Caenorhabditis elegans: one gene and its partners. The protein of the gene in region 2 interacts with the protein of the main gene of each other region in a pairwise test. Each region holds a gene or a part of one and is shown on either strand. Other genes may lie near its edges. The genes, in order: skr-1, cul-1, skr-2 and skr-10.

Region 1 (3,611 bases), on a different chromosome or scaffold from region 2:
TTCCAACGAAACCATTGCTTTGTTTTTTCCGCGTGGTTTTTGTACACTTCTCTCGTTAGTGACCCTGTCACAACTAATTTTAATTCCAGTCAACTACAACACGATGGCTGACCAAAAGGAAGCATCCGAAGCAGCAAAGAACCGCGAAATCAAGATCTCGTCTTCGGATGATGAAATCTTCTTGGTAAGCTGAAATTCGTTTGTTATTGTCATTTTTATCTGAAAAACTAGGCTTCGGGTCGATAAGACGCTTTCGCAGTTCTTATAGAAAATGTTTAGTAGCCTAGTTGATTTTTAATAAATCAACAAAAAAAGCGGCACTGTACGCTAGATGGCATGGGAAAAATTGCAATCTGAACTTCCAGGTCCCACGCAATGTGATCCGTCTCTCAAACACTCTCAACACTCTTCTTGTGGACCTCGGGCTCGACGACGATGAAGGAACCAACGCTGAGCCAATTCCAGTGCAAAACGTCACTGCCTCGATTTTGAAGAAGGTTATCAACTGGTGCACCAAACACCAGTCCGACCCAATTCCAACTGAAGACAGTGAGAAGAAAACGGATGGTTCCATCCAAGACTGGGACAAAAAATTTCTCGATATTGACCAAGGAACCCTTTTCGAGCTCATTTTGGTAACTTGTTATTTTAGTTGCAATATTTTAAATTCCTATTTTCAGGCTGCCAACTATTTGGACATCAAAGGACTTCTTGATGTCGCCTGCCAGTCTGTCGCCAACATGATCAAGGGAAAATCTCCAGATGAAATTCGTCGTGCTTTCAACATCAAGGACGACTTCACTGCAGAGGAGAGAGAGCAAATCCGTAAGGAAAACGCCTGGTGCGATGATTAAATCTCCATCTTTTCCCCTGTTAAACTTTCAATTACCTTGTTTTCTAAATGTTTCACATCATCCACCATATCTTTCCCCTTATTAAACGCACTTTTTAATTGTTAACAAATTTCTTCACTGCCAGCTGACACAACTGTGTACAGTTCTGTTTTTCATTCAATAAAGTTGATGTGAACATGAAAATTGCAAACAATGCAATTGGTTTTAAAGCCACAGCAATAGTATTTTTTAGTCTGAACAGGACTATAGATCCTTCACTTTTGAAATGGAAGATGACGAGATGTGAAATTCTAGGCCAAAGTTGCTTCGTTTTCCGCGCGCGTAGATTTCGAAATAAATAAAAAAACAATACTTTTCTCAGTTTTAAAAGCTACGGATCGTGTGAATGAAAATTACTTTCTGTGATTAATTGCGAATGGGGTTATTCAAGTAATGTATTTACATGACTTTATCGCATATTGCGCCTGACGCTGCTAAATCCCCGCATTTAACTGAAAGTTGCGATATCTTTAAAACGAGATCTATTTTTTCCATTTCTTTCATTTTTTTTTTCCTGATATTCTCCTTTTTCTATCTATCAAAAATCGAGTGCCGATATTCGCTGAAAAGACTATATTATGTACGCCGTCCGCTCTCTTTTTAATTTTATATAATTAAAAAACATTATCTCTGAATATCTGCAACTCGAAATTTAGTAAATATACCGTTCCTCCATTATCTTTCTAGTATTTTTTTAAAGACTTTGTCCATCCAATAAATTGTCATATTTGTCAATTCGTTCCCGCATTGCGTTCTATAACGATCGATAACTCTGCGTCTCTTCCTTTGTGTGTACACTGTTTCCTCGCTTCTCTACACTGTTTCCTCGCTTCTCTCGCATCATACGACACACTCACATTCTATTCGCTCATTTCTCAACGTTCTCATTCTATTTTTCGTTGTTTTTCTTTGTTTTGCAGGTATTTTGCGTTGGAAAATTTAAAACTTTTAATTTTTCTCGATGGAAATACTCTTAATCGTTCTTTTTTTTTTCTACCTGTTCTTCTTTATTATTTGTATGTAATCGTTCTTTTCACAATAATTTCTCAATTTCAATCGATTTCAACGCGATGGCTGATCAAAAGAAAGTATCCGAGGCGGCAAAGGAACGCGAAATCAAGATATCGTCTTCGGATAACGAAATCTTCTTGGTAAGATTCAAATTATTCCTTCGTTTTCGTTATTTTTGTCTAAAAAAACTAAATCGATAAGCCGTGCTGCATGCATGCGCGCGTAGAGTTTTGCTTCTTGGTATCCTAGGTGATCTGACTTATAGAAAAATAGACAATGTTAAATGTTCCACTATATTTGAAAATTCACAAACTAAACTTCCAGGTCCCACGCAATGTGATCCGTCTCTCAAACACTATCAACACTCTCCTGATGGATCTTGGACTCGACGACGAAGAAGGAACCAACGCTGAGCCAATTCCAGTTCAAAACGTCACTGCCTCGATTCTGAAGAAGGTCATTAGTTGGTGCAACCATCATCACTCCGATCCTATCTCGACTGAAGATTCCGATAACCGCGAGAAAAGAACTGACGACATAGGCAGCTGGGACGTCGAGTTTCTTAAGGTTGACCAAGGAACCCTTTTCGAGCTCATCTTGGTAACTTGTTATTTTAGTTCCAATATTTGAAATTCATATTTTTAGGCTGCCAACTATTTGGACATCAAGGGACTTCTTGATGTTACCTGCAAGACTGTTGCTAACATGATCAAGGGAAAATCTCCAGAAGAGATTCGTCGCACTTTCAACATCAAGAACGACTTCACCCCGGAAGAGGAAGAGCAAATCCGCAAAGAGAATGCCTGGTGCGAGGATTAAATTACCCTTCAGTTTGCCTATTTCTCTATTACATTTCTAAACGACATGTCGCTTCCTTCCCCTTCACACTTCACACATTGTCCTGATATGGTCTCTGTCTATTTTTTACATCATCTCTGGCAGCCCAAAAACTTCTTCCTTTTTTCACCTAATTAAAATGCATCTTTTGAATTTTAACCGCCATTCTATATTTATACCTATAAATCACCGACCGGCAAAAATTATGCAGTGTGAGATTCTCACACATTTCCTCCAATGAACATCAGTGTGTCCTTTACGTGATTGTACATGCCTAAAAATAAAGTTGATGAGACGATACAAAAAACAAACGATTTATGTAAAACATTGAAAAAAATATAACCCGTGAATGTATTTAAATTCTGATATGAAAAGTTCTAATGAAGTCAGGTGATCGAGAGACAACGTGTTCAAATTCTGCGAAGTTTATACTCGAGTCTCCATCCAAATCAGCTTCTTCAATAATTCGTTCAATTATAAATTCAACTTCTACATCACTCAGCTCATCTCTTGTTAAACTTCGAATCATTTTACTCAAATCATCATGTCCAAGAAGTTCATCTCCATCGTAATCTAAAACAATATTTTGATACTAAATTAAATATTATTACGCAGACCTCTAAGGACCGCTATTGCAATATAATTTTATCAGATATAAATGCAAAATTTATGTCATGATTGTTAAAATAACAATATGATATAATACAATTTATTTACGCGAGTTACAGTAACCCGTTGCCGGAATGGCGAGACGTTGCGCGTAAATTGTGGTGAAAATTCGCAACTATGGACGTCTACGTAATAAGAACCATATAACTTTTATGGATTGTTAATATCAAATGATTTTATGTCTAATCTCTTCCTTACCAT
Region 2 (6,158 bases):
TCCTTCTGTGATCGCTTGAATTTCTTCCATACTGATTCTGACCACGAAATCGATTGAAACTGTGTAGCTAATAGAGAAATGTAGCTTTTCGAAATATTGAAATAAATTTAATTATTTATTCAATCCTTTTATGTATTGGTTTTTTGTTATTCACATTTTAAAATATTTTTTATTTTTCACGGCCGTTGTTCACCGATCATATGATTACGGTGAAAATTCTAAAACTATTTATTTCCTATTTTATACCAAATAGTTGCAACATATTCTGATAAATCATGTAAGTCTTGTAAGAATACAAAATGTTCTTAGATTTAATTAATGTTGTTTTTTCTTGTTATTCCAGGTACAGTATCTTTTTAAAGGCGCACGAACTAATAAGTTTACCGAGTCCCGCCAAGAACTGTTTCGAGTTTTACAGCGATTTTTGTTCATTTTTTTTCAGTTTTTGTCTATTTATTTGTGAAAGAATAATTTCTCCTCTTTTCCGCAATAGAAATATAAAAAATGATTACAGTTTTATGGGCTCCTGTTTAAAAAACCTAGTTCTACAGTACTTCGATTATTACTTCCACTAATTAAAATTTCCTTTGGGCATCGCCAGGATCGATGTACAGTTAAAAATCTGTTTTCCACCTGTTGTTTTATCGAATTCTTTTTTTACTTTTTTTTCTGCATAAAATGCATGTTTTCTCCAGTTTTTCTCGAATGAAAACGCGTTTTTCAACTTTAAACTATTAAAAATTCGCTTTCGTGTATTTTGCACATCGAAACACCTAAAAAACAAACTTTGCTATTGTTAAAACCTTAGAAAACTCCGCCCGTTCATTGCACAGCCGCTAATCATTCCCTCCTGTGACCTTTCTTTTCCAGATCATCCCGCCATCTCAGCTGTCTTTTGTGCACTAACAGAACCATTGTACTCACCAGAATTTCTTTAAGAATCGATGAAGACACAAGATGAGGCGTCTCTAGCTTGTGTCGCGCAGTCTCCGTCTCCAAGGGTGTTTAGCTCACTGAAATGGGCTCTGAAAAATCAACTGAAATTCGCTTTTTTTCTGTTCTTGGAAATTCCTGAGTCCCGGGGAAAATGAAATAGTCTAAAATTATTATTATTTAGGTGTCTTTCATCTGAAAATTTTCCAAAATTCACAGAGTTTTTGAAAATCTCCTGTTAAGAACAATTTAATTTATTTCCCCAGTATCACTTGAAAAGCTAGAATTATCGCTGGAACAATTTCCTTATGTATTTATTTAATTTCCCCTTTTCCCAGGCTAGCAAATTAGAAAATCTCCTATTTTCCCTCCAATTCCCAGTTAAATTTATCGATTTGCGGTGAGAATCGCGTCCGAGGGCAATCGATTTACTGTCTTCCCGCGATTTTCAGCGCGTCTTCTTAATTTCCAGTCGGAGGCTCACTATCGAGTCATTTCTAACGTCTGCTGGCTCACAAGTATCCCCATTCAGTGATGGCTCTGGATTTTCGTCTTTTTTTTCTATTCTTCCAGGATATCTATATTTCTCCCCCAATTTTGCTCCAGTTTTCCAATTTTTTTGAAAACATCTATTTTTCCGGGATCTCATAAATTTTCTCAATTTCAAGCCCATTATTTCCACCTTCGGTGACTTTTTCCCAACACATGATGATTTTGGATTGGAGCGCGTTTGCGTTTGGGCCCTTGTTTCCTCGTTCCTCTGTTTCTTGCGAAATTGACAAATCCCTTGATTTTAATCGACAATTATTTTTTAAAAATGTGTTTTTCAGTATGACAAATAGCGAACCGAGAAGAATGACGTGTGATTCCGAGGTGGTTTGGAAGAAATTACAAGATGGACTTGATGTAGCGTATCGCAGAGAAAATATGGCGCCAAAAGACTATATGACTCTTTACACGTAAGATTTCCCCCCGAAATTCCACAGAAACTCAATAAAATCTTTAATTTTCAGAAGCGTCTATGACTACTGCACATCGATAACATTGTCCACAAGCCGCCGAGACGGCGAAGACGGTCGAGCAGAATCTTCAACTCCAGCACGAACCGCTGGCGCGGATTTTGTCGGTCACGAGATGTACCAGCGTGTTGAGGAATATGTAAAAGCGTACGTAATCGCTGTTTGTGAAAAGGGCGCCGAGTTGTCGGGCGAGGATCTTCTGAAATACTACACAACTGAATGGGAGAACTTCCGAATCTCGTCGAAGGTGATGGATGGTATTTTTGCCTACCTCAATCGTCATTGGATCAGACGTGAGCTCGACGAGGGCCATGAGAACATTTACATGGTTTATACACTTGCGTTGGTCGTCTGGAAGCGTAACTTGTTCAATGATCTTAAGGATAAGGTGATTGATGCGATGCTCGAGCTGATTCGTTCCGAGAGAACCGGATCCATGATCAACAGCCGATACATTTCTGGAGTTGTCGAGTGTCTTGTGGAGTTGGGTGTTGACGATTCGGAGACCGATGCGAAGAAGGACGCGGAGACCAAGAAGCTGGCCGTTTACAAGGAATTCTTCGAAGTCAAGTTTTTGGAGGCGACCCGCGGATTTTATACCCAAGAGGCGGCAAATTTCCTGAGCAACGGAGGAAATGTGACAGATTACATGATTAAAGTGGAGACAAGACTTAATCAAGAGGATGATCGCTGTCAACTCTACCTGAATTCTTCCACAAAAACTCCACTTGCAACTTGCTGTGAATCTGTGCTCATCTCTAATCAGCTTGACTTCCTCCAGAGACACTTCGGTGGTCTTCTTGTCGATAAACGAGACGATGACCTTTCCAGAATGTTCAAGCTTTGCGATAGAGTGCCGAATGGACTCGACGAGCTCAGAAAATCCCTGGAGAATCACATCGCAAAGGAGGGTCACCAGGCGTTGGAAAGAGTTGCTATGGAGGCGGCAACCGACGCGAAACTCTACGTGAAGACGCTTCTGGAGGTTCATGAACGTTATCAAAGCCTTGTCAATCGATCATTCAAAAATGAGCCAGGATTCATGCAATCACTCGATAAGGCGGCGACTTCTTTTATCAATAATAATGCCGTCACTAAACGTGCCCCGCCACAGGCTCAGTTGACAAAGTCCGCGGAGCTTCTTGCCAGATATTGTGATCAACTGCTCAGAAAAAGCTCGAAGATGCCCGATGAGGCGGAGCTCGAGGAGTTGCAGACGAAGATTGTAGGTTTTTCTCGCTTTTTTTTTTCTCAAAATGGCGTAATTTCCAGCTAAAATTTGAAATTTAACCAACTTTTTGCATATTTTGGTTGTTTATTTCGTTGATTGAGGAACATTTTCGATCGATGAGTGCACACTGCGAAACTGATAAGTTGGCTAAATTTGAGATTTTCGCTGAAAAAAAAAAACAGATTCCTCTCCTTTTTTTCATATCGTTTTTCATACCGATTTTTTCATATCGATTCATATCGAGGCTTCTCAAAATTTCGAAAAATACGGCAATTTTCCCAACTTTTCAATTATTTACCTTTTTCTGACGTTTAAATGTGGCTATAAATCGACCTAAATCAACGAAAAACGCCAGTAATCAATTAAAAATCAATTTCCGACATACGGGAAAATTTGAGGTTTTATCTAAAATTGCCATATTAAAGGATTAAAAGATTTAAAATATTTCAAACCTCCATAGAAATGAAAACCCAATTTCTAAAAAGTTAGCTCAAAATTCTAAAATTTCTATTCCAGATGGTTGTGTTCAAGTACATTGACGATAAGGATGTATTCTCCAAATTCTACACGAAAATGTTCAGCAAACGACTTATCAGTGAACTCTCAGCAAGTGATGAAGCCGAGGCTAACTTTATCACGAAGCTCAAGAGTATGTGCGGGTACGAGTATACCGCCCGTCTCTCGAAAATGGTCAACGATACTCAAGTCAGCAAGGATTTAACCGCGGATTTCAAGGAAAAGAAAGCGGATATGCTCGGCCAGAAATCCGTTGAATTCAATGTTCTCGTGCTCAGTTCGGGCTCATGGCCGACTTTCCCAACGACACCAATAACTCTTCCACAGCAGCTGTCGAAGACTATTGAGATCTTTGGACAATTCTACAATGAGAAGTTCAATGGACGTCGGCTCACGTGGGTTTACTCGCAGAGTCGTGGAGAGATCACTTCTACAGCTTTTCCCAAGAAATATGTGTTTACTGTAAGTTTAAACGTGGAATTTCTATCTAAAAATATTTTTTAAAAATCCGGAAGAAAATGCCTGAAAAAAGTCCAAAATTTTACTATCTGCCACCCAGCTAAAATTTGAATTTTCACTTGGATTTTATCGAATAACAGCTAAAAACCTAAAATTTTCCAGGCCACAACTGCTCAAATGTGCACAATGCTTTTGTTCAACGAACAGGACTCGTACACTGTCGAACAAATCGCCGCTGCCACAAAAATGGACGAAAAGTCAGCACCAGCCATTGTCGGCTCTCTCATCAAAAATCTTGTGCTCAAAGCGGACACAGAACTCCAAAAAGAGGATGAAGTACCGATGACGGCGACCGTAAGCCTCAACAAAGCCTACATGAACAAGAAAGTTCGTGTCGATTTGTCAAAATTCACGATGAAGCAGGACGCCGTGCGTGATACGGAAAATGTGCAGAAAAATGTTGAGGAGGATCGGAAGAGCGTGATTAGTGTAAGTTTTTGATGAGAAATCGGCGGTTTTGGAGAGAAAAATTCAATAATTTCAGGCTTGCATCGTAAGAATCATGAAAACTCGCAAACGTGTACAGCATCAGCAGCTTATGACAGAGGTTCGTTTGGAAATTTCAAATTTTCGAAAAAAATCGATAAAATCTACGTGGAAATTTAATTTTAATGAACTTTCGAAAAAAATCTGATTATGGAAAAACGAGTTTTTCATAATTTGTTGATAAAATCTACGTGGAAATTCAAATTTTCTATACATTTTCGTAAAAAAAACGCGTCGAAATTCGAATTTCTTATGAAATTTCGATAAAATTCTCTTGGAAATTCAATTTTCAAAAAAAAAGTTCACCTGAAATTGGTAGAAACTCTGTAAAAATTGAAAAAAAAATCTTCAAAATTTTCGAGCTTTCGTAGTGCATTTTCAACACAAAATTCTGAAGAAATAAATTAAAACCCCTAAAATAAAAGATGATATCCACGTGGAAAATCAAGTTTTCCATGAAATTTGAAAAAAAAAAATCACCGGAAAAATCGAATTTTCTTTGAAATTTTAAAAAACTCCACTTGGAAATTCAAAGAAAAAACATCTAAAACCCTCTAAATATGATATTTTTGCAGGTGATCACACAACTTTCCGGTCGATTCAAGCCAAAGGTTGAAATGATCAAGAGATGCATTGGATCACTCATCGAAAAGGAATATATGCTCCGTACAGAAGGACAAAAAGATCTCTATGAGTACCTCGCCTAATTCATTTCATTTTAAATATTCTATTTTCTCTTTTAAAAACTATTTTTCCCCTTTACTTTTTTCGCCCAGTTTTATTCTCCACCCTCTTCTTCCCTTCATATCCGTGTTTTTGAAAACTTCAACACCATCTGTATTCTATTACTTATTCTCCTCTCCAAGTCCCTCCTTATTCGATTGTTCTTCTTTACAGAAGCGGGTCCTGGCTTCATTTTGCGCTCTCTGGTAAATGGTCCTGGGTTTTGTAAATCGTTTGTGTGTAGAATATTCGAAAAACCGTATACTCGGTAAACCTTTTTGATTTTTTTTCGTCTTTTTTCGGAAAAATTAAAAAAAAATTCAACTTCCAAGTGAATTTTTCAGTTTTTTCAAGGCCAAATGCAAAAAGGTGAGTAGTCACTTGAACCACAGACAACAAAAAAATCGATGACGAATTATTACAACAAGACAATTTGGATGAGACACTACTGCTGCTCTGACCCCTCCGTCTGTTCACCAGATGCACTTTTTCCCACTGCTCTGAGTCTTCACACTAATGCTTTGCTCAGTCTTCTCTGTTTATAGACTACTATTTGAAGGCTAACTTTCCACGTTGCGTTGACCGGGAAATTTGAATTTTCAGTTGTTTTTTATTACACAGTCGCGAAATTTTCCGTACCCGGTCTCGACGTGACAAATTTTTGCTAAATGTGAAAAGGTGTGCGCCTTTAAAGAGTACTGTAATTTCAAATTTTCGTTTTTGTGTAATTT
Region 3 (3,108 bases), on a different chromosome or scaffold from region 2:
CAGATATTGGATCAATTTATGTTCGAAAGCTACATTTTATTGGCAAAAAAATAAAAAACATTGCCAACATTCGGATTTGGTTCGGTGCCAGGAAGTGGGTTTGGCAAAGGAGACGTAAATTGTTTCATTTGGTTCTAAAACTTTTAGCTACGATTTGTTTCTATAACAACGTTCTCTATTTTTGTCAAAAAGCTTTTAATTAAAGAAAATAATTGTATCGCTAATATTTTTAGTTTGGAAGTACGAGAACTCATCACAGCAGTTGGACAGAATATTGGAATTGATCAGAATGTGATAGCAGACATAGATATTGATACATTGGTTAAAACAGCAATTCAAGTGAAATTGGGAAGACTTTCAAGAGTTCCTCAAACACATATGATTGTTGAGGGAATATGGCCTCCAGAACTTGTTCCTCTTTTTATGAAAGTGAGATATTTGAAACTTTATAGTATTCGAAGAAAATAATGTTTCAGGATGGTCAATTCCCACTTTTTGTCGATTCGGAAGATGATCTCACTGATATGAGGCCTAAGAAATTTTCAGTTCATTTTGAAGATGAACCAATGATGTCTGAAATAGAGGATACATCTGATTCTGAAACAGCTGCTGATAAATCACAAACCACATCGTCCCGATTGTCTCCAATTCCACGCCGAAGAGCAATGCAAGCCAAATTGAATGGTTCAACTGGTATGTTATCTAGAATTGAAGTGAATGGGAATTTTTAACGAAATCAATTTCAGACTCAGATCAAGCTTGCCACGACGGCGTTATGAATGTTTCAACAACTATCACCTCTGATCTTTCTACAGATGCATAGCATTTTGTTTTTTCTTCTTTTCTTAAATCTCAAATAAATACTTTTTAAAAATTTCTTTAAAAAAATAGACATAAACAAAACATATATAACTTTTCCCAGCTACATTATTACATTTTACAGCATTATTATTTTTGTGAAGTCGGTAGATCGAATATTTAAAATTGATAATACAATTTTATTATATAAAACTCAATTTTATTTACTATCTCTCGAAGAAACTGCGCCCGCAGAAGGAATTCAATTTCTTTAAAGTTTTCAAAAAGTTACGGTAAACTATTCCGTAAACACCGCGACATAAAAATGCACACTTTCTCTTTCCTAATTTTATATAAAATTTATAATTTTAGTTTTCTTCGAGAAAGAAACAAACAATCGTCACTTGCTTTTCGAAGAGTTGTTCATTCAACGACTTTCTTTTTTGTCTTCAAATATTTTTTGTTGCGATTTCTATTTCTTGTGAATCGTCTCAATGTATAGATGGATGATTGAAGCTTGAGTATTTAAATTATCCAGAATTGAAATGTTTTCACATACAGGTGTGCTTGATTGTTTTGTAGTTTGAGCATCAACCAAATTCGAAATATATTCAAATACAATTTTTCTGGCTAAAATTTTTCGATGACTACCAATAAGTAGCAGATTTTTATTGACGTTGAGAATTCATTCCAGTATCTTTTTCCTGTATTCTCAATCATTCTTCTTATTATTTTAGTTATAGTTTTTCTATTTTGCAGATATTCTGATAGAATTCCAACGAAACCATTGCTTTGTTTTTTCCGCGTGGTTTTTGTACACTTCTCTCGTTAGTGACCCTGTCACAACTAATTTTAATTCCAGTCAACTACAACACGATGGCTGACCAAAAGGAAGCATCCGAAGCAGCAAAGAACCGCGAAATCAAGATCTCGTCTTCGGATGATGAAATCTTCTTGGTAAGCTGAAATTCGTTTGTTATTGTCATTTTTATCTGAAAAACTAGGCTTCGGGTCGATAAGACGCTTTCGCAGTTCTTATAGAAAATGTTTAGTAGCCTAGTTGATTTTTAATAAATCAACAAAAAAAGCGGCACTGTACGCTAGATGGCATGGGAAAAATTGCAATCTGAACTTCCAGGTCCCACGCAATGTGATCCGTCTCTCAAACACTCTCAACACTCTTCTTGTGGACCTCGGGCTCGACGACGATGAAGGAACCAACGCTGAGCCAATTCCAGTGCAAAACGTCACTGCCTCGATTTTGAAGAAGGTTATCAACTGGTGCACCAAACACCAGTCCGACCCAATTCCAACTGAAGACAGTGAGAAGAAAACGGATGGTTCCATCCAAGACTGGGACAAAAAATTTCTCGATATTGACCAAGGAACCCTTTTCGAGCTCATTTTGGTAACTTGTTATTTTAGTTGCAATATTTTAAATTCCTATTTTCAGGCTGCCAACTATTTGGACATCAAAGGACTTCTTGATGTCGCCTGCCAGTCTGTCGCCAACATGATCAAGGGAAAATCTCCAGATGAAATTCGTCGTGCTTTCAACATCAAGGACGACTTCACTGCAGAGGAGAGAGAGCAAATCCGTAAGGAAAACGCCTGGTGCGATGATTAAATCTCCATCTTTTCCCCTGTTAAACTTTCAATTACCTTGTTTTCTAAATGTTTCACATCATCCACCATATCTTTCCCCTTATTAAACGCACTTTTTAATTGTTAACAAATTTCTTCACTGCCAGCTGACACAACTGTGTACAGTTCTGTTTTTCATTCAATAAAGTTGATGTGAACATGAAAATTGCAAACAATGCAATTGGTTTTAAAGCCACAGCAATAGTATTTTTTAGTCTGAACAGGACTATAGATCCTTCACTTTTGAAATGGAAGATGACGAGATGTGAAATTCTAGGCCAAAGTTGCTTCGTTTTCCGCGCGCGTAGATTTCGAAATAAATAAAAAAACAATACTTTTCTCAGTTTTAAAAGCTACGGATCGTGTGAATGAAAATTACTTTCTGTGATTAATTGCGAATGGGGTTATTCAAGTAATGTATTTACATGACTTTATCGCATATTGCGCCTGACGCTGCTAAATCCCCGCATTTAACTGAAAGTTGCGATATCTTTAAAACGAGATCTATTTTTTCCATTTCTTTCATTTTTTTTTTCCTGATATTCTCCTTTTTCTATCTATCAAAAATCGAGTGCCGATATTCGCTGAAAAGACTATATTATGTACGCCGTCCGCTCTCTTTTTAATTTTATATAATTAAAAAACATTATCTCTGAATATCTGCAA
Region 4 (3,137 bases), on a different chromosome or scaffold from region 2:
GCCGAAAAAAATATTAGAAATCGATCGATTGGAACGCTGCGTTTGTTAAAAAAATATTGATTAGTTTTCCACAGGGAGATGATGAGAAATGCCGTCAAGTTAAACGCGACGAGAAAAAGAAAATTTGACTGTTTCAATTGGTTGTTATAAACTTGGATACGATTTATATAGTATTAATACTGAACTAATTATACACATTAGAAATACTATAGGAATATGACAAGGAAAGTGCTGGAAATTAACTCAAAGATGCATACGTTTTTGTAATTGGAGAGGTGAAAAAAAAATTACTGTTTCTAAAATATACCAAATTTCGGGTAAAAATTAGGGGGTATTTCTCGGGAAAAAAATATTGGACTAATTTGCAAAGAATCAAAATTTAGGTCCGTTTTTATAAAACTGTTATGTTTGTTACTGTATTCTAGCAACTATGTTAATATTTGATCTACAAGTCTCAGACGTAGCAAGGTAGCAACCAAATTGAATTAAGTCGGAAATGGAATAAAAAATTGGAGAAACAAATAGAATGCATTGAAAAATGGAAAAAAAGAAAGAACAAAAAATGCGACTACTCACAATGAGAAGAGAATGTATAAATGACTCCTCACAATCAGGCAGACTGTTTTTTTCCAGAAAACGACTGGGACGCTGCAAATCTAGGTCAATTATTGATATTGGGTAGAGAGAGTTCAATGCATTTCTAGGAGGTTTAGAAAAACAGACAGTGCACCTGCTCTAGGATTTCCCTAACAAAGGTCTTTTCTCTCTAAACCTCGCCTATAACACAATGTCTCATCTCATCCTGTCAAAATTTGACCTACATTTCCAGCGTTTTTAACCGAAGCCAGTTAGGCTATTGGTCATTCTTGCATTTAGCTCTCACCCTGGGCAGCTGCATTTTATTTTTCCTTCTTTTTAAATTTTTTTTTTTTTTGGTTTTTCGTTCTTTTGTTTTATCAATGACCCAGAATCTGTTTGTCTGAAAACCTTAAACTTTAAGCATTCAAAGTTCTAGTCCAATTAAAAATGTTGAACTCTCTAAAACTATAATACCTGTTTGATGCAGTTTTTATAATAAACTATTTTTGAACAAATCCCGATCGAGAAATAAACTTGATAATTACTTAAAGTTGTACCACTAATAAAACCGAAAAATCACTTTAAAATTCGATTACCTATAACCTTAAAAAATATTCTGATCTTCTAAAAACCTCCTAAAATGTAATTTGAGAAAATGTCGCAATATTGCAAAAAAAATTTAAAATCAATTCTAAATTTTGCTATTTCGAGGTGTTATCAAATTTTAGCGCAAGCCTTATTCGAATATTGCATTGGGATTTGCTTTCTTCTTTTTTTTTGTAAAATTCATATCGAGGATATGTAAACCAGTTTGTCAAATTTGTTGCTTTAAACCCCTTTGGATTAATTTAGGCTTACACTATTTCAGACCACTTTTTGATCGATAAAATATTAGGGGCCTCCTCAACAACCTTGTCGGTTGATATTAAACCTTTTTAGACAAATCGATATTTTTCGAACAAACGCAGCGTTCCATGCTGTTGATTTTGCGTGTATAACTCTTCAATCAACTTTAGATGCAATACTATATAAATCTTATCCAAATGTATAACAACCAGTTGAAACAGTCAAATTTTCTTTTTCTCGTCGCGTTCAACTTGACGGCATTTCTCATCATCTCCCTGTGGAAAACTAATCAATACTTTTTGAACAAACGCAGCGTTCCAATCGATCGATTTCTAACATTTTTTGAGGGATAGTCTGTCTGCAGAGTCATTCTATCGTTTATATCTCATTGTGAGCAGTCGTCTACATTTTTTTCTATCTTTCTATACACATTTCAAAACTATTATCTAACGTTGTTACCCGAAATTATAACAGCTGTTAGATACAGTTCTTTTTTTTACTTTTTGAAATCAGATTTTCCTACATTTTCTTAACTTAATCATCTTTCTTTATTTTTTCAACCCATTATTTTTCCAGAAACTACTCTAAAACTACCAACAATGTCCGCTGAAGTCGCTGCCGTTGAAATCCAAGAAGCTCCAGTTGCTGCTCCAATCATGTACAAAGTTGAATCAAATGATGGAACAGTTTTCGAAATCAGTGATGAAGCAGTAAAACAATCAAATACACTCTCCAATCTAATCTCTACATGTGCTCCAGAAGATGTAGCTTCAATGGATCCAATTCCAATTACAAATGTCACTGGAAACATCCTGAAGATGGTCATTGAATGGTGTGAGAAACACAAAGGAGAAGCACTTCCAGTTGATGATGACAGTGTTCCAAAGCATATCACTGTTCCCGAATGGGATACCAACTTCTTGAAAATCGACAACGAAGTGCTCTTCGACTTGATTGTTGCCTGCAACTACCTTGATGTGCCTGGATTAATGAATTATGGATGCAAGATGGTTGCCATGATGGCTATCGGAAAGTCTCCTGATGAGTTGAGAATCATCTTTGCAATTCCAACTGATGAAGAGGATGAAGCTGCTGAGAGAGCTGCAAAGGAGAAGGCTGAAGCTGAGAAGAAGGCGAATGCTGAGAAGGACGCAGCTGAACCATCGACTTCCAAATAATTTCTATGTATCAAGTGTTTTGTGTTTCTTATCAAATAAATAAGTTTGACTGTAATCTTGTTGACAAACATTACACAAAATTTTTATTAACAGTTTCAAGGTGTTGTTTTGAAGAGTTATTCCTAAAATGAAATATTCCATAGCAAGGTTCTAACACAGAATGCACTTTGACTATCTTCTTGTTGAAACATTTGGAAATTTTGAAAAAAAACATCTACTGTTTCAATATGTTGATTTTAAGAGTGAGGCTAAACAAGCAACAGTAAGTTTTTATTTAACCAAAAGCAATTACGTTTGAAAATGTCACAATTAAACCTTATAAACTAGTGTTGAAAGGGCATTCAAAAAAAAACTCGCGTATCTAGTTACTTTAATTCAAAAAATTCAAAAATACCATGCCACTTTTGCGGAAAAGTTTGCAATTTTGTGCGATGCTCAAAAATGTATTCACATATATCAATTTTTATGTTGGAACGTTTACTACCTAGCAACAAGAACTCCAGTAAGCTTCCTAGTCCTGGTTTTCTACTTTCT

Evidence for each region.
Region 1: the proteins of cul-1 (region 2) and skr-1 interact in a two-hybrid assay, tested with the Caenorhabditis elegans proteins (4 studies listed by BioGRID).
Region 3: the proteins of cul-1 (region 2) and skr-2 interact in a two-hybrid assay, tested with the Caenorhabditis elegans proteins (3 studies listed by BioGRID).
Region 4: the proteins of cul-1 (region 2) and skr-10 interact in a two-hybrid assay, tested with the Caenorhabditis elegans proteins (2 studies listed by BioGRID).

The regions. Positions count from the first base shown.
Region 1 is NC_003279.8:9,469,601-9,473,211, forward strand, and holds skr-1 (Skp1-related protein), read left to right. Parts: upstream 1-1,949; 5' UTR 1,950-1,963; coding exon 1,964-2,044; intron 2,045-2,228; coding exon 2,229-2,504; intron 2,505-2,549; coding exon 2,550-2,723; 3' UTR 2,724-3,045; downstream 3,046-3,611. Other genes in the region: skr-2 (Skp1-related protein), read left to right, coding at 104-184, 366-635, 681-854; calm-1 (EF-hand domain-containing protein), read right to left, coding at 3,097-3,314, 3,609-3,611. UniProt on the Caenorhabditis elegans protein: Probable essential component of SCF (SKP1-CUL1-F-box protein) E3 ubiquitin-protein ligase complexes, which mediate the ubiquitination and subsequent proteasomal degradation of target proteins.
Region 2 is NC_003281.10:10,469,474-10,475,631, forward strand, and holds cul-1 (Cullin-1), read left to right. Parts: upstream 1-1,763; 5' UTR 1,764-1,764; coding exon 1,765-1,892; intron 1,893-1,946; coding exon 1,947-3,177; intron 3,178-3,699; coding exon 3,700-4,161; intron 4,162-4,320; coding exon 4,321-4,647; intron 4,648-4,702; coding exon 4,703-4,765; intron 4,766-5,279; coding exon 5,280-5,411; 3' UTR 5,412-5,656; downstream 5,657-6,158. Other genes in the region: D2045.5 (non-specific serine/threonine protein kinase), read right to left, coding at 1-30. UniProt on the Caenorhabditis elegans protein: Probable core component of multiple cullin-RING-based SCF (SKP1-CUL1-F-box) E3 ubiquitin-protein ligase complexes which mediate the ubiquitination and subsequent proteasomal degradation of target proteins.
Region 3 is NC_003279.8:9,468,030-9,471,137, forward strand, and holds skr-2 (Skp1-related protein), read left to right. Parts: upstream 1-1,624; 5' UTR 1,625-1,674; coding exon 1,675-1,755; intron 1,756-1,936; coding exon 1,937-2,206; intron 2,207-2,251; coding exon 2,252-2,425; 3' UTR 2,426-2,608; downstream 2,609-3,108. Other genes in the region: twk-29 (Potassium channel domain-containing protein), read left to right, coding at 4-94, 234-429, 477-693, 747-823.
Region 4 is NC_003282.8:15,944,783-15,947,919, forward strand, and holds skr-10 (Skp1-related protein), read left to right. Parts: upstream 1-2,024; coding exon 2,025-2,603; downstream 2,604-3,137.